4 linked regions of the Rhinolophus ferrumequinum genome follow. The protein of the gene in region 4 interacts with the protein of the main gene of each other region in a pairwise test. Links are inferred from orthologs where the notes say so. Each region holds a gene or a part of one and is shown on either strand. Other genes may lie near its edges.

Region 1 (7,960 bases), on a different chromosome or scaffold from region 4:
ATGTAGCTCCCAACCCCCAAGCCCAGCCAATCTTGAAGCAAAGGGTAGAACATGAGCAACCTTTGGGCCCCTGGGGCGTTGCTGCCGGCAACCCAGCTGTGATTGAGTTCACGACCTACACCCCTTACACTCCCACTGAGTTGCAGGAGCTGGGGAGGTGGTACCGACAGCGCCCTGGAGAGCCAGTCTCGGCTTGGCTACTACGTTTATGGGATGAGGGAGCAGACAACATTCTCTGCTCCCCAGGCGAGATGGAAAAGCTAGCCTTTGTGACAGTGCATCCATCCCTGCGACAAAGGTTACAGAACTGCCATAGGTTGGCCCAAGACCAGGGCAACCACTCTCTGATGGAGTGGCTCACTGCTGCGGTACGCACAGTATGGGGACAGGCTGGCGAGCTGCCAGACACTGTGAGTCAATGGCAGTCATATACGGAACTTACGCAAATCATCCGTGAAATGGGTATGAGACATGCTATTTTCAACTCTAATATGCAGGGGCCGGATGATGAGCTTTTTACAGCCAGCATGAGAGATCTGGTTTTGGATACTGCTCCTGTGTTTTTGGATTCTTGGTCGCCATTCTTATGCCCTATGTGGGGCGACGGACCCATGAAGTTACAACTGCCATAGCCACCCTAGGGGATGTTGAAAGCCAGAGGCGAAGGAAGTTAAGACAGGAGGTCCCAGCAGTTGAGACCTGGAAGCCCAAATCAAAAGTAAAGGGGCGAGGTCGCGGGCCTCAGAGAGTAACACGTGCACAGATGTGGCGTGATCTCATGGCAGCAGGGGTCGATCGGGAGAAAATAGACTGACAACCCAATGCACTCTTGTTGGAACTTTGGAAACAGTTGCATCTGAAACAGCAATTCCAGAGAAGCCTAAAGGAGAAGTCTGGGAAAGCGTGACCCATGTCCCTCCAGGACTTCATGCGGCCGCTTGAGGCCGACTCCTTTCAGCTTGATTAGGGGTGGGACCAAGGTACCTGATCAGAGGGGACGAGCAGGGACCCAGGCCCCACGTGGAACTGTCCATACATTGGTCCCCTTCTAATGTGCAGAGGGTTTTAGCTCTAGTTGACACTGGCGCAGACTGCAGTCTTATTTATGGGAACCCAGAACTGTTTCCCGGACCAGCAATCTGCATTGATGGCTATGGGGGAAAGACTGTGACTGTAAAAGCTGTTTCCTTACCACTGGGTATAGGAAGGCTTCCCCCTCGTACCTACAAGGTTTATGTCTCCCTCGTTCCGGAGTATATTCTAGGGGTGGACGTGCTACATGGCCTCAGCCTACAGACGTCGGTAGGAGTTCTGTTTCCGGATCCGGGTGGTGACAGCGGTGACACGTGGGCATGTTCACCACCCTCCTCAAGTGTTGCCACAGCCCTGGCGTGTGGTTACAGTGCGACAGTACCGCCTGCCAGGAGGGCAGGAGGAGATTGGTCATACAATATTGAAATTGGAGAAGGCACATATTGTGAGGCCAATGCACAGTCCTTTTAACTCCCCAGTATGGGGAGTCAAGAAGCCAGATGGGACCTGGTGAATGACTGTGGACTATAGGGAGTTAAATAAGGTGACACCACCTTTGCACGCGGCAGTGCCTTCAATTCAGGATTTGATGGATTGTCTGACTGCCTTGGAACTTATCACTATGTAGTGGACTTGGCCAATACTTTTTTCTACACTTGTCGCATAGATTATGAGGCGAGACCCTGGAGGGGTGAAGTGTGGGGAGAGAGTCCCAGAGAGCAGTTTCCAGGTTCTCGGCCTCACGTGGGGAGGTGCTGGCTCGGGTAATGAATGACCATCAACTGTGATTGGTTGGCCATCGGCTGTAACCAATCAGACAATTGGCTACTGAGGTAACTGCGGACTTCGTTGATTGGTTGGTTGGCAGGCAGAGAAGTGAATGGTGGACTGTGGATCATGTGGCTACTACTGCGTGTGTCTTGCCCAGCCTCAAGTAAGACTATAGTATTATGACTCCCTTACCTATGGCTCCGTGCGTGTTCCTTTTTGGCCTAGCCACATCCTGCGTTCTTATGTGGGGAGCGGGAGCTGAGACCCCGCAGGCCACCCTGCATGACAAATGGCACAGCGAGCAGGGACTGCTGCATGACACAGCCCAAATAAAAAGTATCTTATGATACTAAGAGTTGGCATTATCTTGTACAGCTAAAAATTTGCATAATCTACCATTCAGCGATCCATGTATTAGCATATAACCAAGAGATATTCTCATATAAGAGACATATACAAGCACACAGCAGAAACTGGAAATAACCTAAATATACTTTGGTAGGAGACTTGAAAAAAAAAATTGTAGTATATTCTCCCAGAGGAACATGATTCAGCTATGAAAATAAGTGAAGTCCAGCTGCATGTAAAAACATAGATGTATCTTACTTAGTAACATAATAAATATTATGTATAAATATTATATCCCAGAAAATCATAGATGGTACTCTATATAGTGTCCATAAACAAGTAAAACTGAACAACATATTTCATATATATATATATATATGAAATATGTTGTTCAGTTTGTTCAGTTTAATCCTATATATATAAATATAAATCTATAGTTTAATCCTATATGTACATATAGGATATGTACATATAGGATATATTTATATACATATAGGATATGTTTAATCCTACATATACATATACATATATGTATATGTATGTATATGTATATGTAGGATTAAACAATAGATTAAAAAAACAACAAAAAAACCAAGGGAATGCAGAACACAAAATTCAGGAAAGAGGCAAGGGTACTGACTATGTGGGGAGCAGCACATAGGACGTAATTTCCTGGCGATGTTCTAATCCTTGGGTTGGGTGGTGAATTGCAGCTGTTCATTATGCTCTTAAATTAATTTTAAAAATGTAATTGTTATATAGGATCAGGAACACGAAGGGCCACTGAAATTTTTGTGGACAATTTAGTATTAAGCTGAAATAGAAAATAGGCAGGATATGATTTTGGTTATTAAGTTATTTATAATTTAAAGGGGGCAATTTGACAAACTCAGATGATAATTGTGTGCTTTTCTATACATACTCTCCTATGACATGTAAACAAACCCAAATGTCCTCAATTTCATGCCCGATCACAATATTGTAAGCCTACATCCAGCTGGATAAGCAGGAGGTACAATCTTTTATAAAGTTTTTTATTAAAAAATTTAAAATGTATATTTCTAGAGAATCCTGGGGAAATGCTTTAATGTTGCAGTGTTTTCCTTCTTGTCCCATGTCACCTGAGCCTCTGATCTGTCTTCCAATTAATGTTTTACTCTCTGGTTTCACTTCTTGCCTCAGACAAATCCTGCTTCTGCTTTCACCTGAAGAATCATCACTATCCCTTCTCTCCTTCTCTAGTGGAAGGGGACAAGTTTTAACTCAACAAGACTTCACTAATTGGGGATGAAGTATAGACTTCACTAATTGGGGATTAAGTATGAGAAAATTATAACATAACGAACCTTAAGCTGCTTTCAGAGTGCACAAGCCCCAATTCCTCCCCAAGGACACCCATGGGTGCCTCTCTTCCTAGCTTCCAGCTGGCCCCAGTATAACAGGGACCCGTTTATTTCTCCTCAGTGGCAGGACTCTTGAGTGTGTGCCCCTTTCCTGGGAACTTAGAGAGAGGAAATTCTTTCCCCTCATTCCAGGCTAGGGTTTATTCCCTTAATTTCCTGCCCCAGGAAACCTCTTTTTAGGAAGATTGAGAATGATATAGTTATTTTCCTTCGGGGAATATTTTACCTCTGCCAATTTTTGAGTGTTTTTATCCAATCTCAAACCAACTCAAAGACATCAGAATACCATAATTGGACAGCAATTTACTTCCCCAAACCTGGATTACTCAATTCTAAATAACAAGCAATGAACAATTTTGGGAGAAAATCAGGAACTTTTTCCATTCCTTCTAGCCCTTCGCTCCCCAATTCCTGCAACCAATTGCTCAAAGAGCAATACAGAGTGTTGTAAAATACAATTCAGAGGCTAAAAGCATTCTAACCTCACATATTTCCCTCTCAAAAAGATTTGTTCAGAGACTCATGACTGCAAAAAGATCACACTATTTATGGTATTAAAAGAACATGAACCTAATTCAATTTACCCCAGGCCTTTCTTTCTGTTGAACAACTATGGGCCAGATTAATTTGAATTGTTTTTTGCTTAGTCTCTGTCTTATAAGACAAAAGTTGCTTGCAACTTTTAAAGTAGCGCTCCCTACCCCCAAATTTCACCTCCCCCCAAAAAAATGTAGGGTTCAGTCTGAGTCAGGGCACTTTTTACATACACACACGTATTCAAAACAAATGTTTTAGGTAAGAGAGAGGAGTATGTAGTGCACACTCGAATACCTTATCTTCCAAAAAGGCTTCTAGGATACTTCATCAGCCTTTATTTCCCAGCCTTTACCCATTCATAGGTTTGTCCTGTCACGTAAACGCCATTGTAAACTTGCTCACAAACCGATTCATCCTCATAGTGCTCGGCAAGGAGTAGGCGTCCAAAAATGAATGAATGAGTTTGTAGAAAAGCGGGAAAAAGTTTAGTTTTTTTTCGAGATATGACGAAGAGAACTACAAGGGTCACAAAACAACAAGACGCAAACTTGGATACATGCCCACTTTCAATCGGCTCTCAAATAGATTCCAGAACAGTAAACTATGCTCCGCCCACGAACGAGAGACGTGAAATAGTGTACACGCTTTCAGAAAAACCGGAAGTTCCTGGTCATGCCGCGCGCACGCGTGCATGCGTTCAGCTCGCACTTACTACACTTGTTCCTCCAGTGACAGAGCAGAGACTCCGGTCGACGTCGGCCCGGAACTTGCCCGCCCCGCGCCCCCCGGCGTTGCGCATGCGTGCTGGGGTGGCCTGCTCGCTGTGAGGCGGGGCGAAAGGACAGATTTTTTTTTTTCTTGCTCCCGCCCCTCTTCTTCCCCCACCTGCCACGTACTGGGCCCAAGCTCTCGCTAGGCTTAGTGGGTCTGTGCGATTGGCTGGGTCCCTCGCGAGCCTACGAGGGAAGTGCGGCGGCTGCGGAGGGCAGCCGAGTGGGCCGTGACCGTACCCTCTCTACGACGCCCCCAAGCCCGGCAGCCTTGCACCAGTCCGGCCAGCGGAGACCTGTGGAGAGGCGGCAGCAGCGGCCTCGGCAAGCCGGTATGGCCGCTGGAGACGGGGGCGCGGCCGCTCTCAGACAAGGCGGCCAGGAGACAAGGAAGCGCTGGGAGGGCCTCGCTCGAACCGGCGGGCGCCGGGCATAGGGGGCCAGAGGGGCCGTGAGAGGGGGCTGGAGGCCCGAAGGAGGGAGGCCGGGTGGGACCTCGCCTAGGGGAGGAGAGGCCACAGCGGGGAGAGGAAGGGCATCACACAGGCCACGGAGGCGGGTGGGCTTTGGGGGTGGTTGGACCATCACGCGCTCTCGCGCTTATTCCGCCTGGCTCCAAGGGGTCGGAATGCTGGACGGAGAGGAGAGGTGATCGGGGAGGCCTTGGGCGCCTAACCGCCATAGGGTCTTGCAAGGGTGAGAGGGCGGAGAATGGCGCCAATAGGAGTAAATTGATTGGGGTCACTTCAGGGGAACCTCGTTCCTTGGCTATGTCAGTGCTTTATCAAGCGCCGTCTGCAGACCCAACCCAGTTTTGTAGTGAGGATGATAGCTAACTCTTAGAGTTTACTAGGCACTGTACAAAGTATTTTAGATGCATGATCTTATTTAATTATTCTAAGGCTCCTTCCAAATTTAAATATTATTCCCATTTTGCGTTTGATGCCTAAGGACACGTGACTAGTAGTGGGAATCTTTACGGTCTTAACACATTGCCTTTGGTTAGGCAGAATCGGAGGCTCCTTGTATTCTTTGGAATAAGCAGGGGTTGATTTTGCTTAGAATTTCTTAAAGGAAATTGCTACCTTCCTGACGTGCCCAATCACACCCCTGTGATTTTGAGCAGGGACCTACCCACAGGGTTAATCTAGCTGGAGGTTTGGCCACAACCTAGATCCTGGTTCAGGATGCAGGCTTCTTATGTGTCCTTGGGCATGTCACTTTATTCTCTAGTGCTGAGAACAGTGTTCCTATTGGAAGATTTCCTTAGTGGCTGTGTCATTTCTGGACTTTAGAGGGAGTGAGGCAAGGACAAGATGGGAGGAGAAACTGCTGTAAGGATCTCACCAGCACTCCTGGTAACTAGTAGTTAGAGAAACAGAGGCCCTGAATTTTACTATTACATTGTATAAAACAATGGGGATGGATGGGATTTCCCCTGGAAGGGAAAATTCTGTGGTACGATTCGTTTTCTGATATTTGTGCATGCCTTGAGGAGATAACTGCACAAACTGAGGACAGCCTTTGGAAAGAAGCCCTGGTTCCTCGCCCCAGGGAATTGAGTCAATGGGAAATGCTAAAGAATAAGTGAGTTTGCAGGCAAACATGCCGATACGAAGTGAAAGAGACTCAGACTCGTGTTTTCAGATCCATTGGTGAGCAACAATCCTTCCACAATCAAAAAGACATACATACTATCAGTAATATTCGATGTTGGAAATTTCTTTTAGGAGTATGTTGGCTTTCGGGAGTCACTTCTAGCTTATAAAGAAGGTACATTGTGAAGGTCTGACTTAGGAACTGACTAGATAGTACAGCTTTCTTCTCCCAGTTGGTTTATCAGAACTTTATTATTCCTCATTCATCTCTTGTTCAAGGAACAAAAAACAAGTCCTTGCTTGCTATATGTCAGGCTCTATTCTCAGTGTTGCTGAGAGTAGATAGTACCATTTTGCTGAAGCTAAGCCTTGGTCCTTAACTACTTTATTGCTGATTTACACAACCTGTAGATAGTAGAAGGTGACACTGATTGACCGGAGTTCTTTATTACTCTCAGACTGCAAGGCAAACAAGGTGGAATCTTCATCATCTTGTTGAAGTAATTATACTTCAGAGCTTGGCATAAGTACGTATTCAGTAAATTTTTCCTGAATAAAGGTCAGGATAGATTAAAGGTGAAGAGGTTGTATGGAAGTTTAAGTTAATCACAGCCTTCATGAGAAGTCCGTTGTGAGAATTTGCAAATAAAAACCCTGACTATTCTTATTTTACATGAAGGCGAGCACAGCATCCAGGTTATGGAGCACAATCCATTCTGTTATGAACTGACTTTAGAGTGTTAGATTCAGTGTTTATTGCCCCATTTATTGATAAAATGTAATCTGTTCAGAGGATGGGGAAGGGGATTTAGAGGAATAGTTAGTTGGAAGGACGTAGGGCATTTATATGTAATATTTATTAAATGAATTTGGATTCACGAATACTTAAAAGTATTTGAAGGTTCGAGATGTGTTGGGGCAGGTGGGGTGCTTTCACACACACACACACACACAGAGAAGTATGAAAACCAAGTATGATGTTAATGAAATAAATTTAAGAGGAGAAAACAAAGCTGCCAGTAGTAAAGCCTGAGGTTGAAACCAGAATGTGGCCAGTAGGAGATTGTAGGGCACTTGACACAGTGTGAAAAGATCATTTGCTTGGGCAGGAGGAGGAAGTTGATGCTAGGGAAATGCTCAGTGGTTATAGATAATGTATTCAAGAACATCTTGGCCTTGAAAAGGAGGTCTTGAGAAAAAGAGATATTAACACATTATTTAATCAAGTATATTCTCTGTTACTATACAGTAACCATTTAAATTACTAGATACCTCAGACATTATTTTGAATTTAGTATTATAAAGTCATTATAAGATAATCATACTGAATAACTTGAAATAAGATTACAGTAAAACCTAAGAAGGGAAAATTCTATAGCAGATTGGTATTTAATGGCTCACTCTCTGCCATTGTCTTCTTTCTTAAAGTGTGCAGGCAAATCATACACATCCACTCAAGTCTGCAGAGGGGTGTGGTATGGAATATGTAGAAACAAGGGTG
Region 2 (7,727 bases), on a different chromosome or scaffold from region 4:
CTAATTTTTTCTTTCTTTAATCTCTTTTTTCTTTTCTTACTTTCTTCTTATCTTTGCACATTATCAAAAGTAACAAAGAAATAGGTCTGAGAAACAGTTTTACTTTATTATTTCAATGAAAGAAAAAACACTGCACTAAGAAATAAGAACTCTGTATTCAATCTCTCGGTGCCTCAGTTGCCTAATATATAAAATGGAGACAGAAATTTATTGGTAAAAGCCAAAACCCAGAACAGATTAAATTCCCTTCTACCTCCAAATCTGACAAGGACAGGAAGAGAAATAACATTTGCCATCTAATCAACTACGCACAGAACAGAAACAAACTTCACAATCAATGAACACTAGAAGAAACAAACTCAGAGCTTCAATAATTAGTTCAAAGCCAAACAGCTCATAAGGGATAATGAAAGCAAGAATTTTTTTTTCTTGGATGGTGGGGTGTCCAGTGTATTTCAAAGGCTGGGTTCTTTACATACACAGGTACACAGGATACTAAGAAAATACTAACACTAAAAAGAAGTTGAGCTTGGTTCAAAGAGCCTACTTACTCTCTGTTTTCATGGGCACCCTTTTCTAAACTTTCTCATGGAAGGAACTTTCAAAGAGTTTGTTTTTCTTAAGAAAAACTATTTCCACTTGGAATTAGCACCAAGTTAGTGCAAAATGTAGTACCATGACTTTCAATAAGCAGAGTTTTTGGTTATTTGCTATTATTTCTGAATTCTAAATCCTAGCTAATAAGAGAGCAATTACCACTGTATACAAAAGGGCGGAGAATATGGAATATTCAATAACATCCCAATACAACATGAGAATCCAATATTTTCCCATATTTAGTCCACCTGCTCATCTATTTTTATGAGCCTTTACATGACTTGGAGCAAGAAACTCAAATCTTTTTACATCTTAATTCTCTCAGCTGCAAAGCAAGAACCTCCAACCTAACACATTTAAAAGAGACCTTCTCCCCGCCTTCAAATCCTCCCCAGTTTTTCCCATTTCAGAAAGTGGCACGCCACCCACCTCCCCACCCAGCTGCTCAAGCTGGAAGGCTAGAAGTCATGAATGATTCCATCTGGTCATTCACCTGCCACCTCCAATTCATCACAAGGCCAGTGGTTTCCATCTCCAAAATATACCTCAAATCTATCCACAGTTTTCCATCAGCCTAAACCAAAAGCTAGGCATCTCCTACCTGGCTATCTGGATTAACACAGGTCTCCGTGTCTACTCTAGCCACTTTCTGGTCCTTTAATTACTTAGCAGTGAGCCTTTTAAAATGTAAATCCAATTATATTTCCCTTTCTGTAAGGTAAACTGGCTTTCTAGTGCTCGTACATTCTACTAAATAAGCCCTTCAAAAGATTTTTTAGAAAATCAACCTCTTACCAGGACTTCAGGGCTATTCATTATCTGGCCCCATACACTTCTCCGGGTTTATCTGGCTTCTCACCAAGCTCCTGGGCTTTTCCAGTTCCAGAAAGTGTCAAACTCTTCACAGCACTTGCTGCCCTCCTCTTAGCCAAGAAAGCACCCAACGTTCCATCATCCTTCAGGTTTCAATGTAAAAATCACGCCCCTATCTCAAACTAAAGTATCCCCCAGTTATTATTGCAGAGAAACCCGATTTTTTTTTCTTTGTAGGACTCTTCACAATTTGTAATCTACATATTTACTGGTGCATTTTCTTATTGTCAATCTAGCCAAGAGACGATAAGCTCCTGAGGGCAGAGATTTTGGGGTTTTCTTCACTCTTATATACCTGCCTCTGGCATAAAGCAGGCCTTCAAACAGCTGATGAAAAGAGGATACTGAGTAACACAGTAAGTCCTCACCTAATACCTTGCATAGGGTGTGCAACTTAAAGTGAAACAATGTAGACACCAACTTTCTGGTAGGCTAACTGACATAAACAAGAGTCAAGTTCTATGTTATCTCATCAACATTATAACAAAATGACACTGAACAAACAATGTTATTCAAGGACCTGCTGTACTGCACGGTAGTTTTTTTCATTCTCTGAGCTAAGGTCAGCTTGTAGGTACTATATACTCAGTGCTTACTATGTGCCATAAAGATCCCCTAATGCTGGGGCCCGCTCCGGTGGCCCAGGCGGTTGGAGCTCCATGCTCCTAACTCCGAAGGCTGCCGGTTGGATTCCCACGTGGGCCAGTGGGCTCTCAACCACAAGGTTGCCGGTTCAACTCCTGCAAGGGATGGTGGGCTCCGCCCCCTACAACTAATTGAACACGGCACCTTGAGCTGAGCTGCAGCTGAGCTCCCAGATGGCTCATTTGGTTGGAGAGCGTCCTCTCAACCACAAGGTTGCCGGTTGGACTCAAGGGATGGTGGGCTGTGCCCCCTGGAGCTGAGCTGCGCCCTCCACAACGAAGACTGAAAGGACAACAACTTGACTTGGAAAAAAGGCCTGGAAGTACACACTGTTCCCCAATAAAGTCCTATTCCCCTTCCCCAATAAAATCTTTAAAAAAAAAAATCCCTAATGCTCACAATTCTGCAATGCAATAGACATTATTTAGCCCATTTAATGTATGAGGAAACTGTGTTTCTCATACAGTTACTTGCCAGAATTGCAGACCAGGTGCATCCACTCCAAAACCTGTGCATTGCCCTACAATGCAGCAGTTCAGGCACACACTTTGATGGGGTCGTTTAAGTGGTCGCCAAGGCTTATATAAATGTAAGACTCCAAAGCAAAACTATATATAAAACCCACACTCACTGATGCAAGATCAAAGAAGAGAATTCACTCTAGTCTGATGGCTTTCCTTCTGAACCCTCTGTCTGCCTTAAAAACGTCATTACGCCCTGTTAAATGCATCTTAGTACAAAGGCAGTTTAAACGGTAAAATCTACACAGGTGAAACCTGAAAGCCACCAATCAATCATAAATAACGCTAATGGTCTCCAATATGCGTTCACGGGCAATATACATCCTTTACCAGGATACTTTTCTTACACAGATTTCCTTCACTACCTCTTACCTACAGTTAAAAGTAAATGACATACTTAACATTAACTGTAGACCATTGCACCTCCACATGAGTTTTCTGACAGGTAAACACCAATCCACTTTATTATTTTAAAAAAGAAACAAAACCGTCTATCTTCATATTTCACACATTTTAGGCACGAGCGTCTTAGGAAAGGAGTCCCTTCGAGTGACTTCAGTACTTAATTCAGAAATACCCACTCCGATTTCCTAATACTGGACATTAGAGGATTAAAAACTTCATTAAAAGCATTTGTAAAAGGTTATTTTCTTACTTCTAAGAAGCCCTTGCTTGCAGAAGTCTTAAGCAAAACACATGCCGTCTTTGCCCGAGTTAATCAAACACTAAGGTCGTCACAGTTTGGAAGCAGCGAGCCCAGTGGCAGGGATTTCAAGAGCCAGTATCCGATTCTCAGGGCCAGGAGGGCCCGGCGACGGTGGGGACCCGAGGCCCGGCAGGGCCCACTCGCATCTGGGTCTACCCACCGCGGCCCGGACGCTTTTGCCGGACCCCACCTGGAGGTAGGGGGCCGGGACAGGGACCCTCGCCAACGTGAGCCACCCACGGACCTGGACGGTCGCACTCACCTCGGCGCCGGCGGAGCCAGCGCTCCGGGGCGCAGGCTGCGCTGGACCGCAAGCCGGGAGACGCCGGGAGGGAAGGGGCGGGGCGCCGGGCGGGGGGCGGGGCGAGGCTTGGGCGGTGAGGGGCGGGGCGGGGGAGGGAACCCTGTCAACAGAGAGCTGGGCCAGAGAGAGCAGTGGAGAGAAGAACGGAACATCGCGATATTTCCAACCTGTTCTCGCGGTTTCACGATAGGTCGGACGAGAGGCTCGTTTTCCGAGAGATGTGGCCATTGGCCGAGAGCGCTGCTTCCTGCAGGCTGGCCCCTCCCACCTCTCGACGCTCGCTTCCGGCTCCCGCTGGTATCTTGCTGTCAAGACAGTGGTTTTTTGCTGTTTTGCATTTTGAAGGGGTAATTGAGCCGGCTCGCACCTCAGGAACCGTTAGTAACCAATCTCTTCTTCCATTCACACATTCATTCAGACGTCCGTGCTGTCATTCAATGGGTACCTTGAGGCACGACCGCAGTCACACCTGAGCGCTTATTGTGTACCAGGCAGCGTTCTAAGAGCTGTGCACAGTTTACCTAACTTATCCCTCACAGCAATCCCTTGATACAAGTACTATTCTTATACTAAGTTTGACCGGTGAAAAACTGAGGCCCCGTGGGTTTATGTAAAGGGGCCAATAGTGGGCAGGTAGTGAACCCCAGCACAGGTTTAAGGGCTCACTGCGCGTTGATAGGTTCGTTCCAAAGAGGAGGCGGGAACCTAGTCTCTGCTCTTGAAATTCTACCTTTTGTTAGAAAAGATCGCTGAAAAGGATGGTAACCACTTAGTAAGTTAAATATTGGGGCGGTTCCTAGCATGGCTGGGTAGGCCGTGAATGCATATATTTTTCAAGACGGAAATTTCTATGTCAGGGGAAAGAGGCATAAAAGGACGAGAGCTTTATGCTGGGTAAAAAAAAAATAAAAATAAAAATAAAAATAAAAAAAATCAAGCATTGTCAGGGAACGTTAAAAAAAACCCAAAAACTTATTTTTTAAAATGCCTTGTTTTTTTAATATGGCAACTTGCGTTCTGCAATGAGGTTTTTCCATTTTTTTTCCTCTCATGAAACTGCTGTTATTCATTGTTCTTTGAAAAGCTTGATAATGACTAATTTACCAGTGCTTCATTGTCAAGTAACCTTGACTGTGTAGTTTTATATAGTTGGTTTAGTTCATTACTCTTCGAGATGAATAACCTAGAAAGCAGAGTTATGTTAAATAACAATAAAACCTATTCCAAAGCAAGACATGAGCTATAATGAAATGTCAATTATCTATATATTAAATCTGGTCTTCTGAAGTTAATGAAGTATATGGCATGTATTTCTAAGATCCTTTATATAGGTTTCTAAATACCTAAGAATTTGTAGTACTTAGGAATTTTTTGCTAGACTTCAAACAAGGAAACCTACAGTTTGTGTAAAAACAAAAACCTTTAGGGTATTAAAGATCAACCCAAATAAGAAGACTTCCTCCTAATACTGAAGTTACACGCGCTCAAAAAAAAAGATTAACAATAGATAGAACCATTTCTTAGAAAGTAATCAATGTTAGCCTCTTATTTTCATTTCTCTAAAAAGGGAAATATTTTAACGCATTAATTTAACATCCAATAGTTGATCACGTAAAATGAATCATCTTAAAATAACTTCTACACCGCCCCCTCCAAAAAAAAAATTGACAAAAGTAGTAGCCAAGTGATTCTATGGTTATAGTATAATATCCTATGTCTAACTTTAAAGTTCTCTAAATTTGTCGAGGGTCAATTTTCACATTTTGCCTCACCCAAATCAAGGGCGAAGAAATACTCTAAACTAGTGATTTGGCATAATTTAACAAACTTGAACATCAACAGGCAGCAATGCCACTTTAAGAAAAACCAAGAAAAAGTCAACCCCATTTTAAAATTCCCACCTCTGGCTCCCAAGGATTGGGTTATAAACTTCGACAAAATACTCTTCTCCACTCCCTATTGGTGCTTGCTCTGTCATTCATTCTTCTGCCTGGAGTTTTGTGAGGTACCAGCTTACTTTACGGGAAAAGGCTGCTCTTCTTTAGTCTGGAACTACCCTACTTTAGACTTTTTCGTGGTTATCAATCTGTATAAGGAATCGCCACACTGATCAGCGGGACCCAGTCTGGCAAATCAGGCTGTCGAGACAGCTCTGTAAATTCATTGGAAAAAGAAACGGAGAACGTCTCAAGCATACAAGGTAAATGGACAAAGGATTTTACGACACAGAGATGTAAGCATTGCAACTTTCCTGATTTTTCATTCGTTTTGAAGGAGGAAGTGTCAGGGAAAACCAGATAAACTAGGAGCAAAATCTGAGAGGGGCAGAAAGTGGTTTTCAGAGGGTGTTTTCCTCTTTAGGCTGGGGTTGGAAGAACCTTATTCCCAGGTTAGCTGTGGATTTTTGAGTGATAAAGGGAACAAAGTAATAAGATTAATTATAGATTATTTTATACTCTAAGAAGCTGTGGTTTTGTTGTTGTTGTTGTTGTTGCTTTAAAATGGATTTAGAGGGACACTTAATGTTATTGTAATTACCAAGTAAAAAGGATATTTTTTTAAATTAAAGTTTACTGGGGTGACAATTGTTAGTAAAGTTACATAGGTTTCAAGTGCACAATTCTGTATCACATCATCTATGTATCACATTGTGCGTTCACCACCCAGAGTCAGTGCTCCTTCCATCACCATATAGTTGATCCCTTTTACCTTCTAAAAGGGATAAAAAGGATATTTTTGTATACTATCATACCTAGCATAATAGACAATCCATCTGTTAAAAGATATAGGAGAAAATTAGAATCGTCTTTTGTTTCAAATTCTGTGTATATTTGTAGATTACGAGAGCCAGGGACAATCTGCTAATGGCCAAGCAAAACGATATTAGTATATGAATCAGAATCAGTAGGTAATTAATATAATAATCAGTTATCAAAAAATGAAATTCACCACTTATATAGTATTTTCAAAAATGATATGTTCATTAAAACTAAGCTCTATTAATAAAAGTTCAGGAAAATATTGATAAATGAGAATAACATATATTAAAACTTATATTTGAAATAGCAACATAATATTAGGATCTTGCCCAATATATAATTCCAAAATATGGCATTGTAAAGATTTAATTAGTAAATATAATACCTAGTAGCATATCTAAACCTCTACAAGGCTAACTCATAGTAGGTATGCAATAAATATTTCTTTAGGTGCCTCTGTTAATCCATATAGGGGGATATAAAATAATAAAATACAGTCTCTCAAGAAGCTCATACTCTAGTTAGGGGAATGAGACTCAAAACATTTAAAACATCCAGACAGTTCTTTATGCATAGATGACTATTATAGATCGTAAGTACTTCAGGTACTTAGATCAGTATGAGTTGAAATATTCAGGGAACGCTTCACAGTAGGATTGGGGCCTGAGCAATTGTGGGCCTGAGCAATGTGCAAAGTTTCAGTCGATAGAAAAGAAAGGAAGTGGCATCCTAGGTAATGAAATTGCAATAAGTAATATGCAGCCTAGAGAATAACTGGCTCTGGCTGCAGCAGAAGGTTCATTTGGGGGACTTGGTTTTAAAAAAAAAAAAAAGCACGAGAAGTTGCATGAAGAGTCAAAATTGCCAGAGTTAAGGAGTTTGGCCCTAGGATTTGAACAGGACGGAGACCTTATGAAAGTAATATTTGAAAAAGATAAAACTGACATCGCAATTTAAGATAGCTCCCAGAGCAGAGACTGGAAGGGAAGACGTTAAATGCTATGAATAATGAAGTAAGGATTAATAGCAGCCTTTTAAGACATTTTATCCAAATGCCTTTTATAAAATTCACTTGGTTGAATAACATAACTCTTACACATTTCTTTCTAAAGCATAGAGCTCATTTGTTGTTTAGCACTTAGTACAAATACAAACCATATTAGATGTGACAGCAGTTGTGATTCAATCAAAACAGTAAAAGTGATTATTGTTCCCATTGTATCAGTTCTTGCTTCTTTTCCTTCAGGATTTAAGTGTATCTCTTGGTGCTATTTAATTAAATTGAAGAATTTCAACAAACAACAACAACAAAACCCTTATAA
Region 3 (7,783 bases), on a different chromosome or scaffold from region 4:
GCAGGAATTATGGCAGCCAGCTTTGGAGAAAACCACGGTGCTCACATTATTCTGTGAATTGGTTTGCCATCTTGCACAGCAGGCATTCCTGCATCTCCTGCACCCAGCCGCATGCTGTGGGCAGAGTGAGGTGTCCCCGTTGCTGTGGGAACTGCAGCATGAGTGTGGCCACGGGGTGATCCTAATTGGGCCACTGCATCTTCTCTTCATGTCAAAAAGGGCTCAGTACATTTCTAGAATTGTTCTGTCAACACAACGTGCTTATCTAAGCATTATCATTTACTTTGTATTTTATTTCATGTCATGAGATTATTTTGAATTATGTTTTAAAAAAATCTTTAAAACATAGACATACTATTTAAATGTGTCATTTTGCACTTTTATTTACACCATAGAAAACCTTCTATTAACATCATAGAAAAAAAAAATCTTGGTCAAAAGGTGAACTCACACTGGCTTCTATATTTGAGTTTTTGTTGTTTGTTTTTCACTTTGATTGGCATGTCTTCTTACCTCCTGTCCTCCACTCTTCTGTGGGCAAAAGAGCACTTAGTTATCTGGCAGGACCCAGCTACATGTCACTTCCTTTATGAAGCCCCTGTTGACACACCTGCCACCAAGTAAACTTGACCACTCCCTTCATGTGTGTTGTGGCCCCTGTATCCTGAAAGCCTCTGCCTTAGTTATCAGAACTTTTATTGCGCTAGTATTTATAAAGGCTAACCAGATTACTGTACGGCTGGTGGCACAGGGCAACTACTTCCTAAGTGCCTCCCATGGGCTCGGTGGGGGGTACAAAGAGGACGAGATGAACCCCTAGCTCCCAGGGAGCTCACTGTCTATTGGACAGGGTCATAAAGACATATTTAAAACACAATCTTAATTTCAGGGCTAGAGATCTGTACAGAGTATCATGGAAGCTTTAAACCACTCGAGTAGGGATTTCACTTGGCAAATGCGAGGAAGGCTCCTTAGAGAAGGGAGTTTTGGGAGTCATCAATAGTGATCTCAAACATCCCAACCTCAGCTGCTGTCATTTTCGTGCTGCAGTAGGTATAGGGCTCCAGGCATAAAGGGTGTGATCGGAGAGAAGTGAAGAGAGCGATGGCCCATGCCTGCTTAGAGGAGACTGGGACTTTCTATGGAAACGGGCTTTCTCACTGAGTGGTGAGGTCGTGAGGGTCCTGGTTAGGACCAGCGCTTCTAAGAAATTTGCAAGGTGTTGATAAGGGCACTGTTTTAGACTGTTTAGTCTCCTTGCAGGCCAGAGAGGTAAAAAGACATGCAAAAAAGCAGTTCAGCAAATAAAGATTACTCTTGAGCTCACCTTTACCTGATGGGCTATTGTAACAGTCAGCTTTGGGTTAGGCCACTATAACAAACAACCCCCAAATCTCAGTGGCTTGTAAAACAAAGGCTTCTTTCTCACTGAATAACTTGTTGACTTCTGGTTGTCTGCACTCTCATCTGTGGGTCCTCTTCATTCCAGGATCTAGACTGAAGGAGCAGTGCCTTTCTTGGACTCGGTAATTTGGGGGCAGAGGGACAACAATGATGGTGGAACCACATGGTAATTACTAAAGCTTCTATGAGGAAGTGGTACATGCGCTTCTACTCAAAGCTGTGAGGTATCACCTCACAGAGCAGAGCAGTGAATGACAAGAGTATAATTTGCCACCGTCCACTCAACCCAACACTAAAAGCTGATGGTTCTGAAGACAGAAGACCAAGAAGAGTTGAAACAAAAGTAGGCTTATAAACACAACTTTAAGCAGACAAAATATAAGACTAATCAGATGAAGAAACAAATATGAACGAATCAGAATGTCTTGCCTTATAAATGAAGATTGAAACTTTCAGCAATCAAAATGTGTATAATGAGGAAAATTTTGATGCCTTTACTGACAAAACAAAAATCAGCCTAGCTAACTAAACGACCAGAGCAGTGTCTTACTTCAGACATGAGCCCACTGAAGCTCACATTTTTTGAGTAACCTGGATTGGTGTTGGCAGGTCACAGAAGGTACTTGGAGGAGAAAATGGATCTACAACGATGACGGCCATTATTCAGCATCATCGCTCAGGCCTAGATTGCTATTCGCTCAATCACTGCCCACGCACATCCCATGCATGTTGTGTAGGTATGCGGAGCTAGGACCAATCTTAATATCTCTTTGTTCCTTTGACATCTAGATTAGCTTGTCCCTTTTAGGTATTTCTATTTATGTTCTCTTAGTACCTATATAAATAGCAATTAGTTATATAGGTGTTATTTTTAATGAATTGTTATACTGATGTGACTTGACCTCAGTTATGCAAACACTGAAAGTGAGTAATACAAAGTTAACTTAAGGAATCAAATATGGTATTAGGCCGAAATGCATTACAATTATACAGAGGGGTGTATGGAGTACTTAAGTTCACATACAGAGGGTGAATATTTTTAGATTCTCTGCTATTAGATTTCGGTGTGCTTGTTCTATTTCATAAATCAAAGAATTGGCCTATATCTTTGATCTGTGTGTTTAGGTTTTATGGTGACAGATACCCTGTAACAGCTAGAAATAGAAATCCATCTTTAGTGATAATATAGTACAGGGACCTGAGAGGAGAAGGTCTTCAGATGCTGTTAATTAGCAGAATTCGGAAGCACACAGTCTCAAAGCAATTAAGGCTGTTAATTGACTATTTGGATGCAGAGTGGAATGGCTCTTATGTTGCTGGACAGGGCACCCTAGGCTTGCAAGGAGGAGTTACATTATACACATGACGTTGAAAAATTAGGAAGGTCAAATACGGGTAAACATGTTTGTCTAGGAGTTAACTGCATTTATGAACGGTGATTCATTGTCGGCTACAGGCAAAATTGTCTGTTAGCTGCAAAATTCATTATTAACAATTCAGTCTTTCAGCCTATCTGCGGTAAACATGGCACACTATTTACTCATGGAAAACGGAGTTTTTTTGCCATGGCGAATTTGCTGTCCTCCGGTTCAAGAAACATCTCTGTAATTCATGTCATCCTTTAAGAGCAGTTGGTGGTCACACATGGCTATGAGGTAGCATCTATGTACATTTTGGGGCCAGAGGGACCTGAGCGTTACTGCTGAGCTCAGGGTGGCAAAATGATTTTATTATGGAACCGCCCATCGGGTCCATTAGCTGCAGCATTTGATTAAGGTGTGAACTTCTTAAAAGAAAGCTTAAAAAAAAATTTCAATGTTGTGAAAAAGTTTTCAGGAAAGGAGAAAGCAATGAAATATTCCTTTTGGAAGAACTTCAGTGAAAAATGGTTAATGTTTGGGGTAGTGTTTATTATTTTTATAGCTATCGCTTTAGGACAGACTTCTGCTTCTGTCAAGCCCAGGGTTCACTAAGGGGCAGGGAAGACAGGCTAGTCACTAAAGAACGCCCAGAAAGCAGTGAGTAAAGAATGCATTTAGTTTTTCTCAGACTGTGGCTCAGTCTGCTCAATGGTGGACTTTCTTGTGTCTGTGTTAAGAGGAAAGAGAAATTACTTGAATTACATGAAATCCACAGGTTATCCTCAAAGCTAAAGTTGACCAACAGTTTTCACCTATTTTGCTGAACATTCTAGAAAGGGGCAGATTGATCCCCCACCCCCTTTCAGTCCCAATCCATTTTCTGGAGAAATTTCTAATAGCCTGTGAAGTGGCTTTAAGAAAAAAAGAAGGGCTGAGCAGGCAGTGGAGCTCAGAACCCCAAATCCTCAAATCGAGCATCTCCGTCCTTATATGAGGAATTAAGCATTGATAAGGGTGGTATGATTTAGAAATCCACTATTCAAACTGCTAACAGACATTTCAGTGAGTGCATAGAGCATATAGAAATAAATTTTACTAAAGATCCAAATCTGAGATTATGCACACAGGCCTTCTAAAAACATGGTGTTAACCCGCTCAAGGGTTATTAGCTAAAGGTTTTAAATAAAAGGCGTTAGAACAGGGGGCTGAAGTCCTTAACACTGGATTGGGCGGCTCGTTTGTGAGGTAACTATGAGAGCTTTTTGGATCAGGAAAGTTCCTGTTTGTTATGCAATGTGTGCATTTCATTATTGACACGATTTCATTAGGCATCAGAGCTGTGTACACAGCTAGCTGCGTCTGTAGCAGCACCCACAGTCTGAAACTAAAACCAAAACACGCTTGCTTTATTGCCTTTCACTACTCTAAACTTTTTCACGGAAAAATTTCCCTAAATTATATTTACTTCTCTAGATGAAAACAATTTTTTTTCTTAAATGTTTTTAGGAACTATAAGTTTCTTGGAAGGTTTTCCATACTCGTTTCTACTGTGTTCCAAGGGCTAATAAAACAACAACAAAACCTCAGTAATAAGGATTCAGAGTGGGGAAACCCTCTTTGTGTGTCTCCCAGCCCTCTCTTCTCCTACCCAAGGCAATCCATCTCTCTCCTCCCAGGTCCCTTTCTTTTGCTATTTCCTGGAGTAAAGATGAAAACAGACAGGTCCGGCCTGGGCCCTGCACACCAGCGTCCGGTGGACACACCCTGGGTGACTCGCGGGGCTCGGGATGGCGGGCGCAGGAGGCCGATCTCCCGCAGTCAGCGCGGGACAGCGGGGTGGGGAGCCCACCCAGCGGTAAGGGTAAGCGGTGTCCGCTCTTTCGCTCGTTTCGGCGCGGTAGCCCCAGGGCCTTTTCCTGGTGTCCTCCCCCTGGGTCCCTCGGCCACCGAACCAAGGGGGCGGATCCTCACGTGCCAGACACGCCCCGGCCGGGTTTATAATTCGCCGGCTCTGGCTCCCGGAGCTGTGGCTTCTCCCGCGCTCCGCTGGGACTCGGGACGCGCTCCCCGCTCCCGCCGCCAGAGAAGTCCCGGCTCGAAGCCCGCCCGCCGGGCGCCCGCTCGTACTCGCACGCGCGCTCACACGCGCGCGCTCACACTCACATTGTCTTTCACCACGCGCGCTCACACTCAAACACGTGCTCTCCCACTTTGCACACGCGCTCACACTCGCACTCGCGTGCTCCCACTTGCACACGTGTGCTCGCTCTCACAAGCGCACTTTCACGCGCTCAGACTCCCACACGCGCGCCACACGCACGAGCGCTCACACTCTCACTCCGGCCCGTTTACCCTGCAGGGGCGCAGGCACCGCCGGCGAGAGCGCCGAGAGGACCCACGACCTTCCCATGGCTGACCTGAGCTTCATCGAAGATTCCGTCGCCTTCCCGGAGAAGGAAGAGGATGAGGAGGAGGAGGAGGAGGGTGTGGAGTGGGGCTACGAAGAAGGTAACCCGCAGCGTGTTGGGGTGGCCGGGGTCCCGGGACAGCGCGTCCGAGGCTACGCGCCGCGTGTGTCGGCGCAGCGCAGGGCTCTGCACGCCGCTGCTCTCGCGCGCTCCGAGCACCGCCGAGTCCCCGCTTTCCCACGTGGGTCTCTGTCGCTTTCCCAGTCCCCGGGTCGGTTTCGGGACAGAAGGCGCTCCAGGGACAGCGGGCGGGCCTGCTGCCTGCTTTAGCGCTGGGGAGCCAGGCTTTCTTGTCCAGGAGCGGCTGGCACCTGCCTCCATGCGGAGGGCGAGCCTGAGACCTGTGGCGGTGACATTTCTGTCTCCTGAGTAGCTGCAAGGAGCAATGTTACATTGTACTCACCACCTTGAGAATACAGTGTTAGCGAAAGTATTACGTTCTTGTTTGCTATGAAGACTTTGACAGAAGTATTTCTGCCTCTACTTTTTCCCCGAAGGATACTAACAAGACTCTTTCCAGACATGTCCTAAATTTCAGGCTCAATCAGTGGGCTTGACTTTTTAAGAAGTTTAGTTTTCTAAATTTATCCCTGAAAATGTAGATCTCTTAGAAGAGTTGACCACAGGTGCTGATATTGACTACATTTATTGAAAAAAATGTAGAATTTGTAGTTTTAACTTAAAAATATGGAAACAGTATTCATGTATGAATACAGATATGTGTATATAGCATATGCACACTTCAAAACATTGTACTTGCATTTCTGATAAGAGGTGTTTAACTCACTTGCTTCAGGTCTGTGGTTTTGGGCTCTCACCAAGCATGTGGGGATTTACAGGTGTTTGCCAAGTACTGCACATAATCGAACTGATGAGTAGAGGACATTTTTGTGGTATTATCTTTTCCCTAATCATTTAAAGATTACCTGAATTTCCTAGCATCATAAATTGCTACATCTATGTGGACCAATAGAGACAGTATTTTGTTAGTCCAGGGTTTTGTATGTGGTATTTAATAACATTATATCATTCAAAATATGAATGCAAAAATCCACACACTGACCACATTTCACCTATAGAGAGAGAGAGAGTAGTCATAACCCTCTTAATAACGTACAGGGTTATAAACAGTGTTTAAACTAGTTTTTACATGATAAATTTTACTGTAACTTTTTTTTTTTTAAACCTGTTATAAATGTGTTTCATCTTGTCCTTAGGTGTAGAGTGGGGCTTGGTGTTTCCTGATGCTAATGGGGAATACCAGTCTCCCATTAACCTGAATTCAAGAGAAGCTAGATATGACCCCTCACTGCTGGATGTCCGCCTCTCGCCAAATTATGTGGTCTGCCGGGACTGTGAAGTCACCAATGATGGACATACCATTCAGGTTATCCTGAAGTCAAAATCAGGTATTTCACGAGATGCTTTTGTGTGTTCTTGTAGATTCAAAGTCACCTGGGAGCCACTGACTCATTTAGCTTATATGACCTTAAAAGTAGAACGAACAGCTCCATTGTCAGGATACCTTTGTATTAGGTTGGTGCAAAAGTAATTGCGGTTTAAAAGGTTAATTGCAAAAACCATAATTACTTTTGCACCAGCCTAAAATATTATAAAACACATTTTTTTAAAAATTGGGGAATGTTGGGAACAGTGTTTTCCTAGGATGTGAAGTTGTTTTTTTTTTTCAGTCCAGTTGAGGCAGGGCAGAGCGCGGCTCCAACTCAAGTCATTGTTTTTAACCTCGTTGTGGAGAGCGCAGCTCACTGGCCCTTGTGGGACTCGAACCCGTGACCTTGGTGTTAGGAGCCCGCACTCTAACCACCGAGCCAACCCGCTGCCTGGCAGAGGCTTAGGGCTCCAACCTCAAGCTGTTGCTTTCAATCTAGTTGTGGACTGCGGAGTTCACTGGCCCGTGTAGGAATAGAACCGGCAACCTTGTTGTTAAGAGCTCCTGATCTAACGGGCTGAGCCATCCGGCTGCCCCTATAAAGTGCATTTTGGGAATTATTTTCTGAAACATTTTTGAAAGGATAAAAGGATGAAATGATGAAGATGTCAGTTTGGTTGTTCAATGTTAGATGATACTCTAACAATCAGTTGGTCAACATAACACTTTGTGGAATTTGTGGAAAGGTATGTGCAGGTGGACCAATCTGCATTTTGTCCTAAATTGTTGATCAGCTTAAATCATGTAGATAATTATACTTCTCTGTTTTACTGCACTGTAAAACTAAGACTAGGATTTATTGACATTATCTGGCATTCAAGATAGACTTTTCAAGTTCATTTTCTCTACTATATTAATATGAGAAGAATTTTAACTAATAGCAATCAAAAACATTCTCTAAACTCAGCACAAGACTGAAATGGCAAACAAAGCTCTTGCTTTAATGAAAAAAAAATTAACTCACCCTCTCCCTCTGAACCTATTTGAGATGGATTTGAAATGTCTTATGGAAACGGTGTTGGGTCATTACTAAGAAATTTTATTTTGGCTTAAGTGTAATGAAGAGGAAAGCAGAATTAAAAAAATTAGCATTAATATTA
Region 4 (7,367 bases):
AGATTATGTTTTGTAAAATAATAAAATAAAATAGTCTATATATTTTCTATTTGTTATTAATAAACAGAAAGACAGATAGAAAGAAAGAACCAGGCCAGGAATGAGTATCTTACAGACCCTAACTCCATGAATTCCACCACCATTTAGCAAGTTACTATCCACCTCTGAGTCTTGTTTTTATCAGTAAAATGACAATGATAATACTGACCTCAGAGGGTGGTTTTTAACACTAGGTGGCCAACTATATTTAAAAGCTTGTCTGTTACACACAAGCACTGAATTCATTTCCATTTACCATACCAAGTATTTATGGGCAACATATAATGAACACACAGTGATAAGAGCAATGAGAGAGGTAAGTAAATATGCTGTAGGATAGCACACAGTGTGCCACAAAGAAACAGACTGAGGATGGAGGTAGATACATGTCTTCTTACTGGGGCTGGTAACTCACTCTTCACCTAAATGGTAGCAAGAAGCTAACTAGGAAAAAGAGAATATGAGGAAATTATGTGGGTGGATTAGATTAGTTGATTATGCAGAGTGTTGCTTAACACTATGCAGAAAAGTGACTGTGGAGGAGTGGGGAGTGCAGGAAGCAAAGTGAACAACAAATGCAGAGACACTGGCATAGACATATCCTGTTTTCCCATTAATATCTGTATAGTTCATGCCCTCACTTCCTTTAGGTTTCTGCTCAAATGTCACCTTACCAGGAGGCCTTCCTGACCATCCTACCTAAAATAGGACAGCCCCTCCCCATCACAACCTATTACATATTTAATATATATTCATTTATTGTCTGTCTCTCAGCTATAGTTTGAAAACTTTGTTTTCAGGGGTCAATCCAAGAAGAGGATTTAACAATCATAAATATCTACACATCCAATATAGGATCACCTAAATATATAAAGCTAATGTTAATGGGCATAAAGGGAGAAATTCACAGTAATACAATACAGCAGGGGATTTTAATACCTCACCCATATGAATGGTAGATCGTCCAGACAGAAAATTAATAAGGAAATAATGGCCTTAAATGTCCCATTAGGCAAGATCAACTTAATAAACATTTACAGAACATTTCATCCAAAAAGTGCAGGATACAGATTTTTCAAGGGCCCATTCTCCAGGATAGATCATATATTAAGCCACAAAACAAACCTCAATAAATTAAAGACTGAAATCTTTTCTGACCACAATCGCATGAAGCTAGAAATAAATTGTAAAGGAAGAAAACTGGAAACACACACACAAATATGTAGAGACTAAACAACATGCTACTAAACAACCAATAGGTCAAAGAGAAAATAAAACCAGGAAATCAAAAACTACCTTGAAACAAATGAAAACAAAACTTTCCCAAATTTATGGGGTATTTTTGTTTTTATTTTCCACTGTTGTAGCCTCAATGCTTAGAACACTGTCTGACACATAAAAGTTATTCAATAAAAAAATTACTGAATGAATAGATGGATGCATGCACAGTGGGTTGCAGCCAATGTGATGATATCTAAAACTGTATAATTATGACTTCAATAGAGAATAAAGAGACATCAGCAATACCCTTTGAAAAAGTTCCTAAGTGTTTTGGCGTCATAAAATCTCTGCCTCATTGTTTATTCTAAAGGAATTGAAAACTATACCTGGCCTAGAAAAAAGAATCACCTCTTATTTTGGCAAACATAACACACTAGTTAGAAGAGGAGGAATAAATGCTTGTTCAAGGAGATTCTTGGTTCAATTCTCCTTTAGAGCCTGAAAAAACCCTGAACATCATTATAAATTTAATGATCATTTCCCTTCTCTTGGGTAAAGAATTGAAATAATAAACTGTGATTATTAACTAGGGTTCTCATCAGATAAATTACACATGGTTAAGGAAACAGAAAAATACATTTCACATTGCAACAAATGGGGAAAAAAGACAGCTCACAATGCAACAAAACAGATAATACTTGCAAAACTCTTGGGGAAAAAAATACTTGAAAACTCTTCCAGTTTGCTGTTCAATGTTACTACCAGAGACCAGAAAAGGATTTGCATAATAAACCCGACTCATGAAATAATACATGTGTAATTGGATGTCATATCTGTCAACCTTTTTGCTCTATGAGAGGTTATAAAAGGGGTGGGAAATCTTCCATCTTCTAAAGCTGACACCAGGTTTTAGGCAAAACACGCTATGTTTGCAATACCATAAAAATTTGGGGATTCAGTTCTATGCCAAAATTTTACATTTTTTTTAAAAAGTCATGACTAGACAACTGAAACCAGTGCAATATCTGATGTGTGTTTTTTTAGAGTAAAAATATAAATAAAAGGACGTAATAATTTGAACACCTCCCCTTTGTCTCTTAGGGCTCTAAAATCTGTTTCTTTGCGTATTTTTTAAAAGAAAATACTCTTGACCTTGAAATTGAAATCACACCCAATTTCTACAGTATGTAATTCACTTACCTCTGCAGGGCAGATTCAGGAGAGACCAGAAGCCTTCAATGGGATAAAATACTGGGTCAGAAGGGGAAAAAGGGAAGACTGTAGGTTCAGAGTGGGGGAAGGGGGTTGCAAAAGTTCTGAGGCTTAAAGGGGACTGAGTAGAAGGTAGGAGTAAGAGATAGGAAAAATCTGTGGTACAGGGAATGAACTAGGCTCAGAAAGATCTGGAAGAGGATCCAGGATAAAGAGGAGATGTGAAGAGTGACGAGGGATAAAAGTACCACAAAAGTCAGAAGAGGGAGGGGATAACGGCCTGCCATCTCCGGAGGATTAAGAGAGGAGATAGTGAGACAATCAGAACCACAACCATCAGGAATATCCTCCATACTGTGGGGATGAATTCTTCTTTCCACCCCATGTTGAAGCAAGGAGGAAAGCTTCCTTGGCATGTTTGAGCATTCACTGTGAGAATTACCAGTCCCTTTCTTTACACTCACCTTGATGAAGAAAGCCAGCGACGCGTCTACTGTATGACCGGAAGTGGTATTTTCTTTTGTTTGGCGGAAGCTTTAGCTTCTGCTGCCACCCACCCAACCCCCACCCCTCACCCTTCACCCCTCACCCCCCACCCCCACCCCCGCACTTTCACTCCAGGCAGCTTCCTGTGCCTCTCTAGCAAGCTCTTGCAAGACTTTATCTCATTGGTTCTCTCACCAGATCAGAACCTGGATAGAGATGTAAACCGGCTGGAAATCAGTCAACTTTTTTCAAATCCTAGCACTCTGCAGTATCTCTGTCAAACCCCACCTATCCAATCTGTCACCTGTCCTTGTGATTCAGCTTTTTAAATACCTCCCGTGCCTTTAGTCCCTTAATTCTTGAATGTCTGCAGTTTCATATTTACCATACCGGGTCACTGTTTTCTGGCATACCATTTTAGGAAATAAAGTTAATTTTTATTAGTAGCATACTTTGATTTCAACTTTTTGAAAAAAAAATCTTAAATCTGAATCATTTTTGTCTTGGAATGGTATCCAAAGAGTTACATGCCAGACTCAAAATTCCAAATAAATAAATGGGAACTCATTTAGAAAACATTCTTGGATACTTCCACACCCCCCACCAAAGGAAAAAAAATGAAGAAAATGACAGCTTAAAAAAAGTTTCAGTACAATAATGAGAATAATCCTTTCTCTGGTTAAAAGTTCAATATTGAATTACGTGCTGCCACTACCTACAAAAACCAATTCTGCTCAAAATCAGGACTCCAGTCCTTCTCTTTTGTGGTTATTTTTGATACAGGCCAAGATTTCTTTCCTAAGAGACTTTAAGTTTCCTTCTTATTTTTTTTTTAAATTAAAGTTTATTGGGGTGACAATTGTTAGTAAAGTTACATAGATTTCAAGTGTACAATTCTGTATTACATAATCTATAAATCCCATTGTGTGTCCACCACCCACATTCAGTTCTCCTTCCATCACCATATATTTGATCCCCTTTACCCTCATCTAACACCCCCCTCCCCCCTTACCCTCTGGTAACCACTAAACTATTGTCTGTGTCTATTGAGTTATTGTTTCTCATTTGTTTGTCTTGTTCTTTTGTTGTTTTTGGTTTATATACCACATATCAGTGAAATCATATGCTTCTTTGCTTTTTCTGTCTGACTTATTTCGCTTAGCATTATACACTCAGGATCCATCCATGTTGTCACAAATGGTCCTATTTCATCTTTTCTTACCACGGAATAGTATTCCATTGTGTGTATATATACCACCACTATTTTATCCATTCATCTATCGAAGGACATTTTGGTTATTTCCGTTTCTTGGCCACCGTAAATAAAGATGCCATGAACATTGGCTGCACCAGTCTGCATTCACACCAACAGTGTATGAGGGTTCCTTTTTCTCCACAGCCTCTCCAACACTTGTTACTATTTCTCTTCTTGATGATAGCCATTCTGACTGGGGTGAGGTGATATCTCATTGTGGTTTTTATTTGCATTTCTCTGATGATTAGTGATGTTGAGCATTTTTTCATATGTCTATTTGCCATTTGTATGTCCTCTCTGGAGAGATGTCTCTTCAGGTCCTCTGGCCATTTTTCAATTGGGTTGTTTGTTTTTTTGTTGTGAATTGCATGAGTTCCTTGTATATTTTTGATATTAGCCCCTTATCGGAGGCACTGTTTGCAAAAATCATCTCCCATTCAGTTGGTTGCCTCTTTATTTTGTCAATGGTTGCTTTTGCTGTGCAGAAGCTTTTAAGTTTGATATAGTCCCATTCACTTATTTAACTTTTACTTTCTTGCCTTTGGACTCAAATTCATAAAATACTCTTTGAACCGAAGATCCGTAAGTTTAGTATCTATGTTTTCTTCAGTGCAGTTGATTGTTTCAGGTCTTATGCTTAAGTCTTTGATCCATTTTGAATTAATTTTGGTACATGGTGACAGATAACAGTCCAGTTTCATTCTTTTACACGTGGCTTTCCAATTCCGCAAGCACCATTTATTGAAGAGGCTGTGTTTTCTCCATTGTATGTTTTTTACTTCTTTGTCATAAATTATCTGTCCGTATTTATGTGGTTTATTTCTGGGTTCTCAATTCTATTCCATTGGTCTATGTGTCTGTTTTTCTGCCAATACCATGCTGTTTTGATTACTGTTGCCCTGTAGTACAAGCTAAAGTCGTGGAGTGTAACACCTTCAGCATTGTTCTTTTTCTTAAGATTCCTTTGGCTATTTGGGGTCTTTTGTGGTTCCAAACAAATCTGAAGATTTTTTGTTTTATTTCTTTAAAAAATGTCATTGGGATTTTTATGGGGATCACATGAAATCTGTATATTGCTTTGGGTATTATGGCCATTTTAACTATGTTGATTCTTCCAATCCATGAGCACGCAATGTCTTTCCATTTCTTTGTGTGTTCTTCAATTTCTTTAAAAATGTTTTATGGTTTACAGCATATAGATCTTTCACATCCTTGGTTCAGTTTATTCCTAGGTATTTTATTCTTTTTGCTGCAATTCCAAAAGAAATTTTTTTAACTTATTTTTCTGAGATTTCATTGTTAGTATATAGGAATGCAATGGACTTTTGTACGTTGATTTTGTAGCCAGCAACTTTACTGTATTCGTTGATTGTTTCTAATAGCTTTTTGGTGGAGTCTTTAGGGTTTTCTATATATAGCACCATGTCATCTGCAAAGAGTGACAATTTAACTTCTTCATTCCCAATTTGGATGCCTTTTATTTCTTTCTCTTGCCTGATTGCTCTAGCAAGGACTTCCAACACTATGTTGAAAAGCAGAGGTGATAGGGGACAGCCCTGTCGTGTTCCTGAACGTAGAGCAATGGGCTTCAGTTTTTCAGTGTTAATTATGAGATTAACTGAGGGTTTGTCACATATGGCCTTTATTCGTTAATGTTTTTTCCTTCTATACCTATTTTATTAAGTGTTTTAATCATAAATGGATGTTGTATCTTGTCAAATTTTTTTTCTGCATCAATTGATATAATCATATGATTTTTTAAAATTAAAGTTTATTGGGATGACAATTGTTAGTAAAGTTACATAATAGTTTAGTGGTTGCCAGAGGGTAAGAGGGGAGGGGAGTGGTAGATGAGGGTAAAGCGGTCAAATATATGGTGAAGGAAGGAGAACTGACTCTGGGTGGTGAACACACAATGGGATTTATAGATGATGTAATGCAGAATTGTACACCTGAAGTCTATGTAATTGTACTAAAAATTGTCACCCCAATAAATTAAAAAACAAAACAAAAAAAAACCAAAAACAACAAATAAAAGAAAATATGTTGTTTAATCTCCATGTTTTTGTGTTTTTTCCTGCTTTCTTTTTGCAGTTGACATCCAATTTCAAAGCCTTGTGATCAGAGAATATGCTTGGTATGATTTCAATCTTCTTAAATTTGCTGAGGCTAGTTTTATGTCCCAATATATGGTCCATCCTTGAGAATGTTCCATGTACACTAGAAAAAAACGTATAATCTGATGTTTTAGGGTGAAGTACTCTATATATGTCAATTATGTCTATTTGATCTAATGTGCCATTTTAGGACTGCTATTTTGTTATTTATTTTCTGTTTGGATGATCTATCCATAGCTGTCAATGATGTATTTAGGTCCCCCAGTATAATTGTGTCTTGGTCAATTTCTCCCTTTATTTCTGTTAGTAGTTGTTTGGTATATTTCAGTGCTCCCTGATTGGGGGCATAAATATTGATGACTGTTATGTCTTCTTGTTGTGTAATCCCCTTTACCATTATGAAATGTTCATCTTTGTCTCTTGTTACCTTTTTCACCTCGAAGTCTGTTTCATCTGATATAACTTTAGCTACACCTGATGTTCTCTGGATACCATTTGCTTGGAGTGTCAAGTTCCACTGTTTCACTTTGAGTCTACACTTGTCCTTGTACGTGAGATGTGTCTCTTGGAGACAGCATATGGTTGGGCTTAGTTTTGTGATCCAATCTGCTATTTTGTGGCTTTTTATTTGTGAGTTCAGTCCATTTACATTTAGGGTGATTATTGATATGTGAGGATTTCCTATTATTTTACCTTCAGTTTTCTGGTAAGAATGTTTCTCCATTGTTTCTTCGCTTTTTTATTGTTGTCTTTTATTTCTGTGTGGTGATATTCTATGATGCTTCCCTCTGTTTCTTCTTTTATTACAGTATATATTATAGTTCTGGATTTTTTTTGAGTGGTTACCCTTAAATTTATGTAAAAGAAAGTTTGATATTTAGAGTATTCCACTTTCTTCAGCATGCATACTTTCTCCATTCCCATGTTCCAGTTCAGGCCTTTACTCTCCCCCTTTTCATGTTTTGGTTGGCACACGTTGTCCCTGTTGATGGTGGTCGAATAGCCTTCTTTAGTATTTCTTGCAGTGCAGATTGTAT

What was found.
Region 1: the proteins of MAGED1 (region 4) and TFG interact in binary tests that used the Homo sapiens proteins (3 or more experiments, as listed by UniProt). The two-hybrid records come from large-scale screens. The link is inferred for Rhinolophus ferrumequinum from reciprocal best matches to the Homo sapiens genes MAGED1 and TFG.
Region 2: the proteins of MAGED1 (region 4) and TTC23 interact in binary tests that used the Homo sapiens proteins (3 or more experiments, as listed by UniProt). The two-hybrid records come from large-scale screens. The link is inferred for Rhinolophus ferrumequinum from reciprocal best matches to the Homo sapiens genes MAGED1 and TTC23.
Region 3: the proteins of MAGED1 (region 4) and CA8 interact in binary tests that used the Homo sapiens proteins (3 or more experiments, as listed by UniProt). The two-hybrid records come from large-scale screens. The link is inferred for Rhinolophus ferrumequinum from reciprocal best matches to the Homo sapiens genes MAGED1 and CA8.

What each region holds. Positions count from the first base shown.
Region 1 is NC_046285.1:29,837,035-29,844,994, forward strand, and holds the start of TFG (protein TFG), read left to right. Parts: upstream 1-4,943; 5' UTR 4,944-5,193; intron 5,194-6,498; exon of another isoform or gene 6,499-6,516; intron 6,517-7,960. UniProt on the Homo sapiens protein: Plays a role in the normal dynamic function of the endoplasmic reticulum (ER) and its associated microtubules. Required for secretory cargo traffic from the endoplasmic reticulum to the Golgi apparatus.
Region 2 is NC_046311.1:11,647,503-11,655,229, reverse strand, and holds the start of TTC23 (tetratricopeptide repeat protein 23), read left to right. Parts: upstream 1-4,710; 5' UTR 4,711-5,879; intron 5,880-7,727. UniProt on the Homo sapiens protein: Participates positively in the ciliary Hedgehog (Hh) signaling.
Region 3 is NC_046297.1:18,632,822-18,640,604, forward strand, and holds the start of CA8 (carbonic anhydrase-related protein), read left to right. Parts: upstream 1-4,766; 5' UTR 4,767-5,173; coding exon 5,174-5,273; intron 5,274-6,450; coding exon 6,451-6,642; intron 6,643-7,783. UniProt on the Homo sapiens protein: Does not have a carbonic anhydrase catalytic activity.
Region 4 is NC_046284.1:83,519,913-83,527,279, forward strand, and holds the start of MAGED1 (melanoma-associated antigen D1), read right to left. Parts: upstream 3,008-7,367; 5' UTR 2,937-3,007; intron 1-2,936. UniProt on the Homo sapiens protein: Involved in the apoptotic response after nerve growth factor (NGF) binding in neuronal cells. Inhibits cell cycle progression, and facilitates NGFR-mediated apoptosis. May act as a regulator of the function of DLX family members.